3 linked regions of the Arabidopsis thaliana genome follow. The protein of the gene in region 2 binds, or shares a complex with, the protein of the main gene of each other region. Each region holds a gene or a part of one and is shown on either strand. Other genes may lie near its edges.

The links. The genes of interacting proteins can lie anywhere in the genome.
Region 1: AT5G03220 (region 2) and AT5G05140 share a complex: the UniProt entries of both Arabidopsis thaliana proteins name them as parts of the mediator complex.
Region 3: AT5G03220 (region 2) and SFR6 share a complex: the UniProt entries of both Arabidopsis thaliana proteins name them as parts of the mediator complex.

Annotation. Positions count from the first base shown.
Region 1 is NC_003076.8:1,517,703-1,523,678, reverse strand, and holds AT5G05140 (Transcription elongation factor (TFIIS) family protein), read right to left. Parts: upstream 3,975-5,976; 5' UTR 3,327-3,974; coding exon 2,865-3,326; intron 2,777-2,864; coding exon 2,708-2,776; intron 2,628-2,707; coding exon 2,545-2,627; intron 2,451-2,544; coding exon 2,398-2,450; intron 2,282-2,397; coding exon 2,132-2,281; intron 2,047-2,131; coding exon 1,754-2,046; intron 1,672-1,753; coding exon 1,590-1,671; intron 1,501-1,589; coding exon 1,382-1,500; 3' UTR 542-1,381; downstream 1-541. UniProt on the Arabidopsis thaliana protein: Component of the Mediator complex, a coactivator involved in the regulated transcription of nearly all RNA polymerase II-dependent genes.
Region 2 is NC_003076.8:766,877-770,710, reverse strand, and holds AT5G03220 (Mediator complex, subunit Med7), read left to right. Parts: upstream 1-1,793; 5' UTR 1,794-1,948; intron 1,949-2,120; 5' UTR 2,121-2,126; coding exon 2,127-2,261; intron 2,262-2,342; coding exon 2,343-2,412; intron 2,413-2,576; coding exon 2,577-2,743; intron 2,744-2,830; coding exon 2,831-2,904; intron 2,905-3,033; coding exon 3,034-3,094; 3' UTR 3,095-3,276; downstream 3,277-3,834. Other genes in the region: AT5G03230 (senescence regulator (Protein of unknown function, DUF584)), read right to left, coding at 575-1,075. UniProt on the Arabidopsis thaliana protein: Component of the Mediator complex, a coactivator involved in the regulated transcription of nearly all RNA polymerase II-dependent genes.
Region 3 is NC_003075.7:2,496,250-2,500,971, reverse strand, and holds the start of SFR6 (sensitive to freezing 6), read right to left. Parts: upstream 3,042-4,722; coding exon 2,704-3,041; intron 2,627-2,703; coding exon 2,558-2,626; intron 2,468-2,557; coding exon 2,379-2,467; intron 2,296-2,378; coding exon 2,183-2,295; intron 2,072-2,182; coding exon 1,970-2,071; intron 1,526-1,969; coding exon 1,435-1,525; intron 1,248-1,434; coding exon 651-1,247; intron 443-650; coding exon 1-442. UniProt on the Arabidopsis thaliana protein: Component of the Mediator complex, a coactivator involved in the regulated transcription of nearly all RNA polymerase II-dependent genes.

The DNA of each region.
Region 1 (5,976 bases), 750 kb from region 2:
TCAAAAATGAAGTGTAATCTAACAAAGTATGTAATGGATATAGGTCAATTTATTCATTGCATATTGATTATAAATGAGATTTTTTATATTCTTAAAATAGTATGAATTAGACATTTTGTAGTGATATTTCCAACAACAAAAAAAGATCTCATAATTTTGTTAAAAAAAAAAAAACTAAAGACATTTCGCTGCATCAATAGTAAGATTTAAGTTCTAGAGCTTTTGGAATTGCAGTTTTTTGTTTAGTTTAAAGTTTTGAGATTATGAGTTAATGTTTTAAATTTTGAAACTTACTAAATGTTAAATGTCATTTCAGTTTTTGTACACAGACAACAATATTTTTTGTATTTTCACATGCTCAACTTTTTTTTTCTCTCACATGCTAAAGTTTACAAAAATAACCAACACATCCATACGAATTTACCATCACGCCAAAAATCATTACGTTTGTTTTTGTCCAAAAGTGTTTGGGTGTACTTATTTAATCAAACTAAAAAGTGCATTTTCCTTTTCACGAAATAAAATCGTGACCATAAAACTAGATTTATCTCTATCCAACTGTTTTTCTTTCAATAGAAATGGAGTGAAAGATTAATAGAAGTTGTAGAAGTCCACGTGGTTCATGTGGTGAAATGCGTGAACGCGTAACGCCGAGATAATAACAACATTGAATAAAAAATACCAACACGCACAAAGACCACACTGCAACAACATTCCTATCCATCCACGTTATCTCCCACCCCCCACTACCTTCTCCTCTTTTCTTATCCACCCACCTTCCTTAAGCCTTTCCAATGCCATCTTATTTTATATACATAAGTAATAAGAAATGACAACATTCGGTCACAATCACATTCATTCATAACAATTGGATATCATTATATAAATATTTATTTATTTGGAAAAAAGTGTCATCATCTCTATATTGTGTCCCAAATCATTTCACATTACTATACAAAGTTAGGTGAAGAGCCGGTCAATTTCGAATGAGCTTTTCTACCCTCTCTTTTACTATTTTTATATGATATATATGTAAAAGGGACCTCTCTCCTTGTCCCAAAACCGAACATAACCCGACTAAACCGGGACTGTACCGAAAGTCTCAAGAATGTAGTAAAGAACACATAAAAGAAACAATAATTGGTATCCCTATCTTGCTGCAATTGGTGAATCCAAGACAGAACAAAACAGAGGAGTAAACAGTTTGTTCAAAGTAAAGTTATGTTGGATTCTGTTCCTTCTCCTCTGCTTGTTTCTGTCTCCAGCTTTGTGGAACTAGACTCTGTTTACCTTTATTGCACCAGAGATTGCGAGATATGTGTGGTAAGTATGGAGTAATATCTTTTGCCGAGAATTATTCACCATTTGAACAAAGCAGAAACTATTTTCTCCCATTAGCCCAATTCCTGTTGCTCATTCCAGGTCTCTTGAGTTGCGGTTTCTGAGCACTACCTTGCTTTGGGATCATCTCAAGTACTTGTATCGTTCGCTGCTTCTTGGCTGTGGCAAGATCACAAACATTTTTAAGTTCTTTTGTTTTCAAGAATGTAACAAAAAACTCGAAACAAAAGAAAGGAAATGAAACGAACCATTCTCGTGATGCTGGTAGCTTTCTTGAAGTTTCCTCTTTGCAAACTCAAACTTTGCGTCTGCATCAAGACCTTTAAGTTTCTGCAAGGGACAAGAGCAAAAACACCATCAATTCTACGTCCAAGAATAGGATATTAGACAAGAGCTTTGTCTCCACACTCACTTCTTGTTGAGGTCCAGGAGCTTTCCGCTTCTGTTCTGTAACAACCGGTTTCCTTTGGATCATGGGTTTTTCAGACTTGTGAACAGATACCGTTTCGTTCTTCATCCTTTGCTCTGTACTTTGCTTTACAGGTCTTCTAGTCCCATCAAAATCAGTAGCTGATGATGGCTTAATAGATCTAAAAGGAGCATCTTGTATCCTCATTTGTGTTCCCTCAGGTTTTCTCTTGGCGATATTTTGTGGCCTTCTTTCATGCTCTCGGCTTGTGTTGTGTTCTTCAGAGTTACGAGGATCTGAAACAAACATCCCCAAGAAAATCAATCAACACGTAGCTAAGAACATGTTCTCAAACAAACAAGACATAGTTTTAAAACTCACTTCCATCAAAGTCCAAGGAATCAAAGAAGTGTGAGATTTCAAATCCGTTTGGTTCAGGTGTAAAGATATCAACATCATATGGAAGCGATGGAAACGCCTCTTCTTCATCAAGGACAGACGGGTTTGCAGACTCTGGTGTACCTTCAGCACCTGTTTTAAACACAAAATTAGAACCAAAGACTATGGATCTAATTCAAGAAACCAAACGGTAAGACACGAAGCCAGTCATAAAAGATCGAAAAGCGAGACAGAGAAAGCGCAATTACCAGTGATTTCCTTTGTGGTATTCACCCATTGATCCACCAACTCCTTCCATTCTCTGCATAAACATATCAAAAACTCAAATGTGAGATTCAAAAGTGCAAAAGCATAGCAAATGTCAATCAAACTTGTGAAAGATCAAAAACTCATACGCGATAAGAGTCTTAGCGAGTTGTCGAATCTTATCAGAAGAATGTTTCCTGAGGCCATTAACAGCCTTTCCAATCTCAGTACTCTGCGAGAATAACCGCAAACCTTAAGAATCTCAAGGATCATCAACAACAACTTCATACACTATCCACCAAGATAACCAACCTTAAGAATATCCACATTCAAAGACATCAACTTAAGATGTCTTAAAGAATCGAGTAACACCGAGTTTGGCTGCAAGAGAATACAAAAAAGAACCAATCAGAAAACACAAAAAAAAAATCTTCACATTGATGAAATTTCAAGAACTTGAGAATCAAACCTCATCTTCTTTGTTGAGCAAGATCTCTTTGATCCTAGCAACCTCCTTAGAAACCACAGAAAACTCTTCAATCTCATCACTCAAAGCCTCAGCTTCATCAAATGTATAATTGCTAACAATCTGATTATTATCCCCTCTGCTACTATTAGCTTTGCTCTCTTTACTACCACCAGCAACCTCATAATCTTCATCAACCGCCGTACCACCACCACCATTTCCGGTGGTTCCACGGTTAGCCTCGTCGTCTCCGGGAACAGACAATTCAAGATGGTCGCATCCGACGCAACGATTCACTCTACAGGAGAATAAAAGCTCGGCGATTTTGTCTCTTCTGGATTTGAATTTGTTAGGACAATCAGTAGCAGCCACCATGATCGCATGATCGATGATCCCGAATATATCGGAATCTCCTCGCCGTCGGAAATATTCTCTCCAGCTATCTAATGAACCCGATGCTTTCATCGTTTCTCGATTCAACAAAATCGGAGTCTAATTAACTCAAGAATTTGATTTTTTCCCCAGAAAATTTGAAGAAGAAGCAAAATAGATTTCCAGAAGAAGAAGATTGGGATCGTTGAAGATTGAAGAATTCGAAAAGAGAAGATCAGAAAATATCGAATCTACGACAGAAGATTTACTTACCAAAAAAAGATCAATCAAACTTAAAGGTTGAGACTTTGAAGATTGTTTTGTTCTCAATCAAAATATGATCAAAAACGAAAAGGATTTGTGATCAAAAGAATCTATAGAGAGAGAGATAAACACAAAATCTGTTTGGTAAGTTTTTATTAATTTATTTTTTTTGGTACCTTTCCGAATCTGACAAGAAAACTTTCCCGGAAAGCCCAGAAAGGATTTTCCCGAGAAAAAAATGCACCGCAGCAAAGATGAGAAAGAAGGAGGAAACCCAAAAAAGCAAAAGAGAGAATACAGACAGAACATGAAACAGTTTTGGTTACGTTGTCTATCTAAAACCCAAGTGCTACTACGTTAAACACAGCTACAAATTCAATTCAACAAGAAACCTTTTTATTAATTCAGAAAGAGAAATAATGAAATTTATTTATTTCCTCTGATTGAAGTCTCTCTGTATATCTGTTTGGTAAAAGAGATTTTATTTTTATTTTAAGTTGGATTTTCTTTACGGCTTTCTTTTGACCTGATCGGTCTGTTTTGGCTTTTCATTATTATTATAAAAACACATTATTCTTTTTTTCCTCACACATGCGTTGTACTTGAACGACGACACAAGTTAAGTGATTACAAGGTCAAACTCTTTTTTTTTTTTTTGGGTCATAAATCTTTTTTACGTTGGAAAATGTCAAAAGTAAATTCTACTAAGAGTGTTTAGTTAGTTATACGGACTTTAATGAGAAGCTCTGAAGAAGAGATATTTATTTCCTAATGCTGCTGATCAAAAGCGTTTATCTTCTAGTCAAAGAGTGATATATTAGAATATTTGGTAAATCCGATTCAAAACAATAGTTTCATGTTTTAACAGTTAACACTATCATTTCATTTTATTTTGTTTTATAAGAAATTGGATTAGGTACTTTAATTTGTTCAGATTTGTAAGACAGAGAAACAAGTATTTCTTTGTTTACAATGTTTTAAAAATATCTAACAAAAAAGTTGTTTTATTTTTTTTGTATCCCTTTGTACTTTGGATTAGGTACAAAATGACTCACAATGTTTTAACCTCGTTACCCTCACAGCTTTTTCATTAATTCATCGACTATTTTTTCATAACCCATACTTGTTAAGGCCATTAGGGCATCTCCATCCATGAAAAACCCACAAAGTTTTTCAAACAAAAAAAATATTAATATTATATTATAATTTGATTATTTGATTAAAAAAATATTTTTGTTAAAAAATTAAACCAATAGTAAGATGATAATTGTCATGATGGGTTGTAGAGACTATCTCAGAGTTTCTCAAGTGAGAAACTTTCTACACTCTCTCTCCTTCATTTTCATTATTTTTATTTTTTTAATTGTGAGAAACTCTTATGAGATACTCCCAATAGAGATGGTCTTAGATATGTAGTTTATTTACAATTTATCAATTGTAAATAAAAGTTACAACTCTTCACTTATACTCATAATGTTCCGGTACAATCCAACCAAACCTTAACTTAGATCATATTTATTTTAGAGAATTTACCAAAAAAAGACATAGCATGATAGCATCATGTCATCAATCATCATACATTGTCTTATTTTTGTTGTTGTTGAAAAAAAAAAAAATCAACTGTTTTTCTTTGTATTTGCATTTTCGTTTATGTTTACATGTTCCAAAATGATACCACAATCATAACTGTTTTAATTCAAAGTAAGAACTTTGTTTTGTGTTTACAAAGTTATAAAATAAGTTGGACTATTAAACTTAGCTTGATTTGTTAGAGCAACAACAGAAAATAGAAGAAGAAAAGGAAGTTTCTGTTTGTGGAATGAGAAGCATGTATTAAATGTTGGTCAACAAAATCGACCCCTAAAAATATTATAATTTGATTTTATGTTAATACGTGACAAAACGAAGTCGTACGATTTGGGACGGTGGTGATTACCAATCAGAATTTACTCACCTTCAAACGCGTGAAAAACACTGGGACTCCTTTGAGTGCTAACCTCACGGGCTTGTCACAGCCACGTTTACGTGACAGACTTTGATTGGCCGACACGTCAGCAGATATAGTGGCTGCTTTACGGTGTTTTAGTGGACCTACTTGAAGAAAATGGTGCGTGTTTTGTATACAAGAGATAAGAAATCCATCTACCACGGACGGTCTCATTACAATTTTTTTATTATCTGAATAACCAATTATAGATATAACACCTAATGTATTTTGCTAGAAGTCGACAAAAAAAAATTAGACTGGAGTTGGAAAGAAAAATTAGAATTTTTTAGGCTCAAATTATTCAATATGCATATATTTATTTGAATCATTGTGTCATACTTGTTCTAGAACTTTAAGCTTATGAATGATGATTAAAGTTTATCTTCAACGAGTAGGCATTATTATTAGCTTCTTCTGCTACTCTAATGATTCTAAGAAAGCGTCGAGAAAGTTAATACAGAAGCAAAGAAAACTATTCGAACTGCGGAAGAT
Region 2 (3,834 bases):
TATTATTGATCCAAAATTAACATATTTGAAATTAAACTCAATCCAGCTTTGTTATATTCAAATTTCCTTAGTTCTACCGAGTTCAATAGATCTTAGCATTCGTTTATCTTCTTCATATGACCCCCATGGAATTATGAAATTTAGTTATTTTTTTGCTACAGTTTTTAAATTAACACCAATGAAATACATAAATTGACCCCTATGATCATTCCTTTATACATTTTGACCCCTAGAGCTGCAAGTTCTAGTTCCGCCACTGCCTATTTCTCTGTAGATTTCTGTAAAAATTGAAGTAACCACACAACAACCAAAATTCAACATATTTGAAACACACAAAAATATAAAATATTATTGATCATATCCAAAAAAGAAAAAGAAAAATAGACGATGATCAAAAACTCCAAAAAACAAAAATAACGCCAAAAGGAAATCGGAAAAATTCTCCTTCGGACCGAAACTATAACGATCCTCTAAACCCCTCCAATAAAAAAACACCAAGTCCTTACTTAAGATCTCTAAGTAATTAAAAGTTTACCTATAGAGAGTTATAATTAATTACATACTTATTATATTACTAATCCTGAAACCCAATCTTCTCCCAAATCGCGTTCCTCAATCGCCTTAGATCTCTTCCTTTCGCCGTCCCACCGATTCCTTCGTGCACCGTGAACGACGATCCTCTCCGTCTTGCCAAATACTCGTGCGGCGGAATCATCCGTCTCCCACCGTCGTTGCTATCGTCATCATCCTCGTCATCGTCGTCACTGTCATCGTCAGGTATCGCATGACCTCTATACTCACTCTTCAAGATCTTAGACCAATCGGGGATATTAACCGGAAGCGAACCGGTCTTTGTAATCTCCCGGTTACCTGAATCTCCGGTTTTCGTCGGTTTTCTCCGTAACCGAGAGATTGATATCGATCTTTTCGCGTCGAATGAATTCGGCAATTGATGATCGCCTAAGTTATGAATATCAGATTCGTCGAATTCAAAGACATTCTCATCGGACATCTCTGGTTTTGGTTCTGGATAGATATATTTAGGTTTGACAAAAAAAAGCTTCCTTGACGCCATTGATGAAAAACAGAGCGTGTAAAGAAGAATAAAAGAAAGATGATGTTTTTATGAAAACTGGATTCTGGGTTTTGATCAGCTTGTAGAAAAAATCTGAGAGGGTTTTTGTGAAATTTGAGATTGAAGGAGAAATGTGTTGAGATGATCATTTTTATAGAGAAATGTAGTAAAGAGATAAGCTCTCTCATTGGGTTAAACTTATGTGAGTTTATGACTTACACAGTAAACGACAAAAGTACAAAAGAAGATAAAAAAAAAAGTTTATAAGGTGTGGCAAGTCTCACGTTCTTATCGTGAGCTCTCTTTTTTTGTTTCACTCGTCCTTTGTTTTTCTTTTTCTTAAATAGTAAAAACTTTATGAGTTTATGATCAAAATGATGATGTTAATGGAATTTTTATCTTCGTCTTTGATTTAATTTAAGTTATCTTAAGATTTAATGTTGTTAGATATGATTTTTTTAGCTGTTTTAATTTTTTTTTGTTATTAAAATATTTGTTAATTTCTATTTAAATTGACAAAAAAATCTAGAATACACAAAAAATATATTTATTTATTATAAAGTAAAAATATTTACTATTTTTTAAATGTAAAAACGTAAGAATAACATCATTAGTGGGGTGATTAATCACATCCAAACAGCAGAAATCGAATTAAACTGAAAAGCCATTGTTTTAATTAAACCGAAACTAAACCAAAAGAAACCAGACTTATACGAACCGTCCGAACACGTAACCGAAAATTTACGAGAAAATCAAAACTCGTTTCGTCATTATTGACCTCTTGCTCTACGCCGTCTTCTCCAAAGCAAAATCAAAAGCTTCTTCGATCTTATTCTCGTCTGGTTATAATTTCCGATTCTGCATTCCCAATAGGTTCGTGTTTTTGTTAACCCTAATTTCTCTTTGTACCATGGTTGCAAATTTTATCCAGAATCGTTGGAGTAAAGTCTTAGATTTTGGATTGAATCGTTTGTTGCATCGATTAGAAACCTTAATTTTAGGAATCTGTTACTGATTTTGCTTAGTTTTTTATTTGGATCTGTAGGGAATAATGGCTACAGCTACGTATCCGCCTCCTCCACCATATTACAGACTCTACAAGGATTACTCAGAAAACCCTAATTCTGCTCCTGAACCTCCTCCTCCGATTGAAGGCACCTACGTCTGTTTTGGAGGCAACTATACTGTGAGTCTCCTCCACATTTCCCCCTCTTTAAAATCTTCATCTTTATGTGTTTTAGTAGTTTTCATTTTTTTTGGTTCGTAGACTGAAGATGTTCTTCCAAGCTTAGAAGAACAAGGAGTGCCTCAACTTTATCCCAAAGATTCTAATCTTGGTATGTCATTGTTTTAGCTTTGTGAATCAAACTCAAAACCCAATTGTTATTTGCTTTCTAGAGTACGGTTTTTGGTTCTTCCCTTAATTGGAATCAAACTTATTACATGAGTTCATTTGCCTCTTTGTTTCGTTGAAGAAAGTTTCAAATATCTTTGTGTGTAGATTACAAGAATGAACTCAGGTCACTGAATAGAGAACTACAGTTACATATATTGGAGCTTGCTGATGTTCTTGTTGACAGACCTTCTCAATATGCGAAGAGGATTGGTGAAATTTCTTCTATCTTCAAGAATTTGCATCACCTTCTCAATTCCTTGAGGCCTCACCAAGTAAAGAAGATCTCATCTTCGCTTAACTACAACATGATTTCATCAGTTTTTGTTTTCACTGTTTTGATCATCTTCTCTTATGTCCAGGCGAGAGCAACGCTTATTCACATTATGGAACTTCAAATTCAACAGAGGAAACAAGCTGTGGAAGACATTAAAAGGTGTGCATATTTTGTTTGTATACTGTACTTAATGGTGTGCTTATATCAATCCATCATCTGTTCAAAGATTTTTCAGAAACTTTGTTGGTAGTTCTTATGGGTCCGTTTGATGTTTTTGGTTGTGCGCAGAAGAAGAGAAGAAGCACAGCGACTTCTAAAGGATGCTTACCTCACTTTAGATGGTCAATAGAGTCTTTTTTTGTGTGTGTAAATTAGCAATTAATAATCTGTCTGTTATTGTTATTGACCTTCGAAGCTTATTATAATTTGTTAACACTAAAACAAAGTTAATTTGACAATCAACTAAGACTGAATAGTATGAGGATTGTATTAATTAGACCATAATTAACCGGGTTTTCTTTTGAAGGAAAAGAGAAAGAATAAACCGGTGATACAACCGAAACGGAACTATGATATATCGAACATACATTTGATGTGAATGGATCTGTCAATATCTCGAATAAAGAATTTGATTTAAGCAGTTGATTGACACCTGAACCGATGTTTTAGAAACTCATAGAAATACAAATTAAAAATAAATGTTCAGTTTATCCAATTGCAATTAGCCAGTTTCATTTCTTTTAGTTTTATCCAATCTAAAAACTCATTGCAGTTAATTTCAATAATATGACTCTATTGTGTATGAGGATTACTAGTGGGATTGTCCACAGAGGAACATGGCCCAACTCTGTGCACACATTATTGGATAGTCCAAAGATGAATGACACGTCGGATTATTACACCTCTATTCAGTAAACAAAATTGACACGTCCGATTACTTCACGTGGACTAAATAGGGACATGCCTTGTTCACTTACTTAAATAGTTTCTATCAAAATAAATAGCAAATTGTGGAATCATTTTTTGTTTCCACAATGACTCATTTTCTTTATCAATCTTGTATTTTTGTCAACCATATATCAAGATAAA
Region 3 (4,722 bases), on a different chromosome or scaffold from region 2:
ACATTTATTTGATAGTTTTCAACAGGTGAAAAAGTTGGACCAGAAAAGATATGAACTCCACCACGAAGAAAAGCAATCGCAATTTCACCACCATGAGCAGAATAGACAATCCGTGCAAGTGTCCGAATATCACTTGGCAAATCAAAAGGATCAAATACAACCTTGTTAGCCTTCTCATCACCAGAATCAGGCTCCTTTGGTGCATCCACACTTGGTCCTGCTGCAGCTACTTGATGATTCTTAAAATCTTTAGTAGGTGGTATGCTCATATCCACTCTGGATACCCAGACAGTTTGCGTGGGGACCTGTCCTCCAAAATTTGAAGTTGGGTTTCCAAATATCTGATGCAGTACAACAGGTTGAACACTTGATTCCCAGCGCTGTACTCTCCAGCCTGTGATTGAAGGACCTTCATCTGGATCATACGGAGACATGTACTGCCCTGCAGACACAAACAATTAGCATTTATTTTAAACAATAGATTGAAGCTGTTGCGCTTCATCACTCAAACAAAATTAGCATTTTCTCATCTGGCAGCTCTTCAATATATGAGCATTTCTAAATGATTGACCAAAAACTAAACGTAAACCTGAAAATGTTTATTCAATCATGGAAACAGTATGAGGTTCCGAGAAGGATGAGAACAGTACCTTCAACTATAACAACTGCTATCACTGAACCACCACGAGTTGGATCAAAAGCAACAGCGGTAACACCAGATCCCCATGTTGTGGTTGCTGCAGACTGAGCTGCAGCCTCTGGACTTACATAAGCAGAAAAATTGGAAACCGGTGAGCAACTTAGCGATATAGCATCACTGGAATCTTGATCTGAGGGCTTCTTCCCTTGCTTTATCTCGGATATTAAGTATTCTTGCCAGCTAAACAAGTACGCAGCTAAAGGAGCAAAACCTGTCCAAGAAGAAGAACTAAGGGATGGTGGCACACGACTGCCTGTAGAGATTTTTGGAGTCGCCTGGAGTCCATTTCCAGGGCCAGGGGTCACCTCCCATACTACAATTGTTGAAGGGTTTACAATTGGAACTCCTGCTACATGCATGGCACCACTGTCTGTTATAATAGCATCAGCAGCCATAATTCCACTTGGCCCTGCACCTAAAAGACCTTTCTTTGTACTAAACCACTTTGGTGCAGTGCTTCCCTGGTTAGAAGGCCACTGGGACCAATGAATTTGAACAGAGCCGGATGAGAAAACAGAGCATACACAGAGAAAGTTGGGCCACCGAGCTGCAACAAATGGTAGAGAATCAGAACCGTCACATAAAGTGGAGGAAAATGCACTAACGTCAGAACATGTTGTATTGATCTTGTCACATATATTTGGATGTCAAAGGAACTGACATAATTAAAATTAAGTGCATAATTCTGAATATATCATCAAAAAATGAGTCACAAGAGGCACGCAGAAGAAAACCTGAGCTTTCAGAGCTCTGCGAGAGAAATTTCTCCTCGAAAGTTGACTTTGCATTTGTACCAGAACTTGGCTTGGAGGACAACCACCTATACTGATTATCAATAAAAAGAAAACATAGAGGATAAATTTCCTAGGATAAAACTAGAGCAGCAAACTAGGTGGCCAGAAACAACATGATATTAAGTCCTTCAGAACATGTTCTTTGCAATGGCATTATTATCTATCTGTTACTCATTTCCTTATGTGTTCATGCCGATCATTAAAGAAATGCATCTAAGAAACGCAAATTGGAAGATCTTTTAGGAGTCTAGTAATTTTGCAAACAGAGAGTTGGGATTTCCAGGACGTTGTGTTTTCTCCATCTCATTTCCTCCAAAACGTAGAGACATTTCCAGTTCAATTACTCACGATTTAGTAATCCCAGTGCCCACTCTCACATGCAAGCCCTCCATTACTAATTTAACGAACTCATTAAGGGACAAATATGCTGTGCATTTGATAGAATGGCAAATAAGCAAAACATAAGATTACATACTGGGGAAGCCCCTGTCAGCCACTTTGTAACAACAGCAATGTCCTGACGCCATTCATGCTCACACTGCCAGGAGGTAGCGTCGTGCACTAAATTAGCCGAACCCTGCAAAACCAATCCACAAAAAAAAAATCATCTGAGGGTGTCATAAAACATCTTGACACAGAAGACAAAGAAGAAATATAAAGGTAAATCCCAGTGATCAGGAGCACAAACCTGAGTAGGCTGCGTCCAGATAGTTATACGTCCATGAAAATTAGCAATGAGTAACGCACGAGGACAAGAAGTGGGAGACCATTCGATAAATTGGACAGAATCACGAGGAGAGTCTACATATAAAAAATTGCATCATAATCGTTTATCACCCACTAGATCAACCGAGTTCATAAATAATTAACTGATATCAAAATACCTGCCACAACATTAAACACCGCACACTCAGTAGGGCGCTCAGGTATCAAGATATGTATTGGTATCCAAAAAGGTGTATTTGCCTTGGAGCTGCAAGAGATGAGAACAGAGAAAGATGAAAATTGAGAAATTCATCACTGCCCATACATTCAAGACATAGAAAAGTAACAAAAACCATACCTTGGAATCCTGGCACAGGTCTCGGAAGCACAAGCAATAGCATTCAATTTGCCACACCACGCAACAGCACTAACACAAAGAAAAGGAGAAAACTTTACAGGAATTGATGAAATTTAAAGATTTTCCGATGGGAGAGAGAGTCAAACCTGAAGTTACGGCACAATTCAGGAACACTCATCTTATGAAGCAAATTGGAATTGGGCTGCTTAAGCTTAACACAGAAAACTGTAGCCGGACTCACAGGATCAATCTCCATGTTACTACTACTACTATTATCGTCTTCTTTCTCTCCGTCTACTGATTTCTCTAACAATTTCTCCTCAACGACGACGAGAATCGGATCGGTAGACTCAATAGTCTCTTCCTGCTTCTGCTGTAATCCTTCTTCCTCTTTCTCCTCCACTATAGCTGGAGCTTCGATGATTCCTCCACCACCGCTATTATTAACCAAAGAAACTTCTTCTTCTGGGTTTTGCTGATTCATGTCAACGAAAGCAAACAAAACCCTAAATTTATAGAAAAATCGGAGAAAAGAGGGCAAGTGTGACAAAAAGTCGCGATTGAAGGCGACAGAAAGCACTGTGCGTTGAGAGAGAGAGAAAGTGTCAAAGTGAGAAACTGTTAAGTGGGGTTAACGAGACGACTTAGTGCGGGGAAAATTCCAAAATCCCCACAAAATCAAAATCGAACAAAAAATGCAATTTTGATTTTAGGGTTTGGTGGAGTCACAGTCTCGTCGCCGGGATGCAGAAAAAAAATCTCGGTGAAAGTGATGCAAAAACGCCGTCGTGTCTGGTCACTTTCTCTCTAAATTTTTTTCCCCTCTTTTTGTAATTTTTTACTTTTTCTTTTAAGAGCAAAAAATGAAGAAGTAAATTTTAAATGATAGTTTTGAATCTTTTGATTAAGGAAAATGATCATAATTTCATTTTTTCTTCTAATTTACCATCTTCAAATTCAAATTTGTAAACATGGAAAGGTACTAACTTAATTTGACATTTGGCATTTGAGGATCCTTGTTTGACATTAGTTTTTTTTTTTTTTTGCTAAATTTGTTAATATCATTACAATGAGAGTTCAGAAAATACAAGAACGTACAACCTATAGAAAAGTAACCAAGGCAAAAAAAATAAAAACAAGGCTACAATAGAATTAGAAAAGATTTAGGTGTGTTTAACGAATCCATAAAAGCATTAGCCGCTGCCAACGCTTGCGATGTCGTCGAGAAGTGATTAGGTTGCGAAGCTCACGATCCACCAATTTGAAGATGATAAGAGGTGCCACGCGAGTAGAGTTGTGCAAAATATTAGGCTTAGGCATTAGTTCATTTGCCTCCTCCCAAATCAAAAGTTAGGCTTAGGCATAAGTGTTTCCCATGGTTGTTGTATCTCCCTCAATGTAGCACGACCAAGAATGAGAATCACTTATTGCTTACACCAAATTCTTTGAGTTACATGCATAGCGTACTGAAAACTAGTTGTTTCGGCTTCTAACTAGATACAAGCAGAGCCATCCATGAGCACAAACGGGTCAAGCTCATGCTTGCGGCTTCAATTAATATAAAGGGAATTTAATGAAAAAAAACCTCAACTTTGGCCAGATCCATTTTTAAACCCTAAACTATGTTTTTAGTAAAACAAACCCTGAACTAAAACCTGTTAATAAACTTAACCCTAAACGTTGTTTAATTACTGTGGGGTTAAGTTTATTAACAGGTTTTAGTTCAGGGTTTGTTTTACTAAAAACATAGTTTAGGGTTTAAAAATGGATCTGGCCAAAGTTGAGGGTTTTTTTCATTAAATTCCCTAATATAAATAAAACTTTTGCCTCATTTTCTTATAACTTTCAGTAGAAAAGTTGGTTATTTGCTTATAAGATTACATTAGAGAGTCAAAAGTTTGAGTTCATCTTCATCTTCATTTGCCTTTTTATTTATTTTTTCATTTTCACTCATTAAACTAGAACCAAAAAAAAATTCCTTCTTTCAATCTATTAAATACTAGGGATGGATATGTCTTTGCACCATACCCTTTTAACCACCTTCTCATATCTAAGAATGCACCAAATTTCAAACTTATTCATTCCATGTTTACAACATTACTTATAAGTTTACTTGAGCTAGTTGTTCAATTTAAAAATCTCCCTATGTGAAGGTTGTTTTGCCT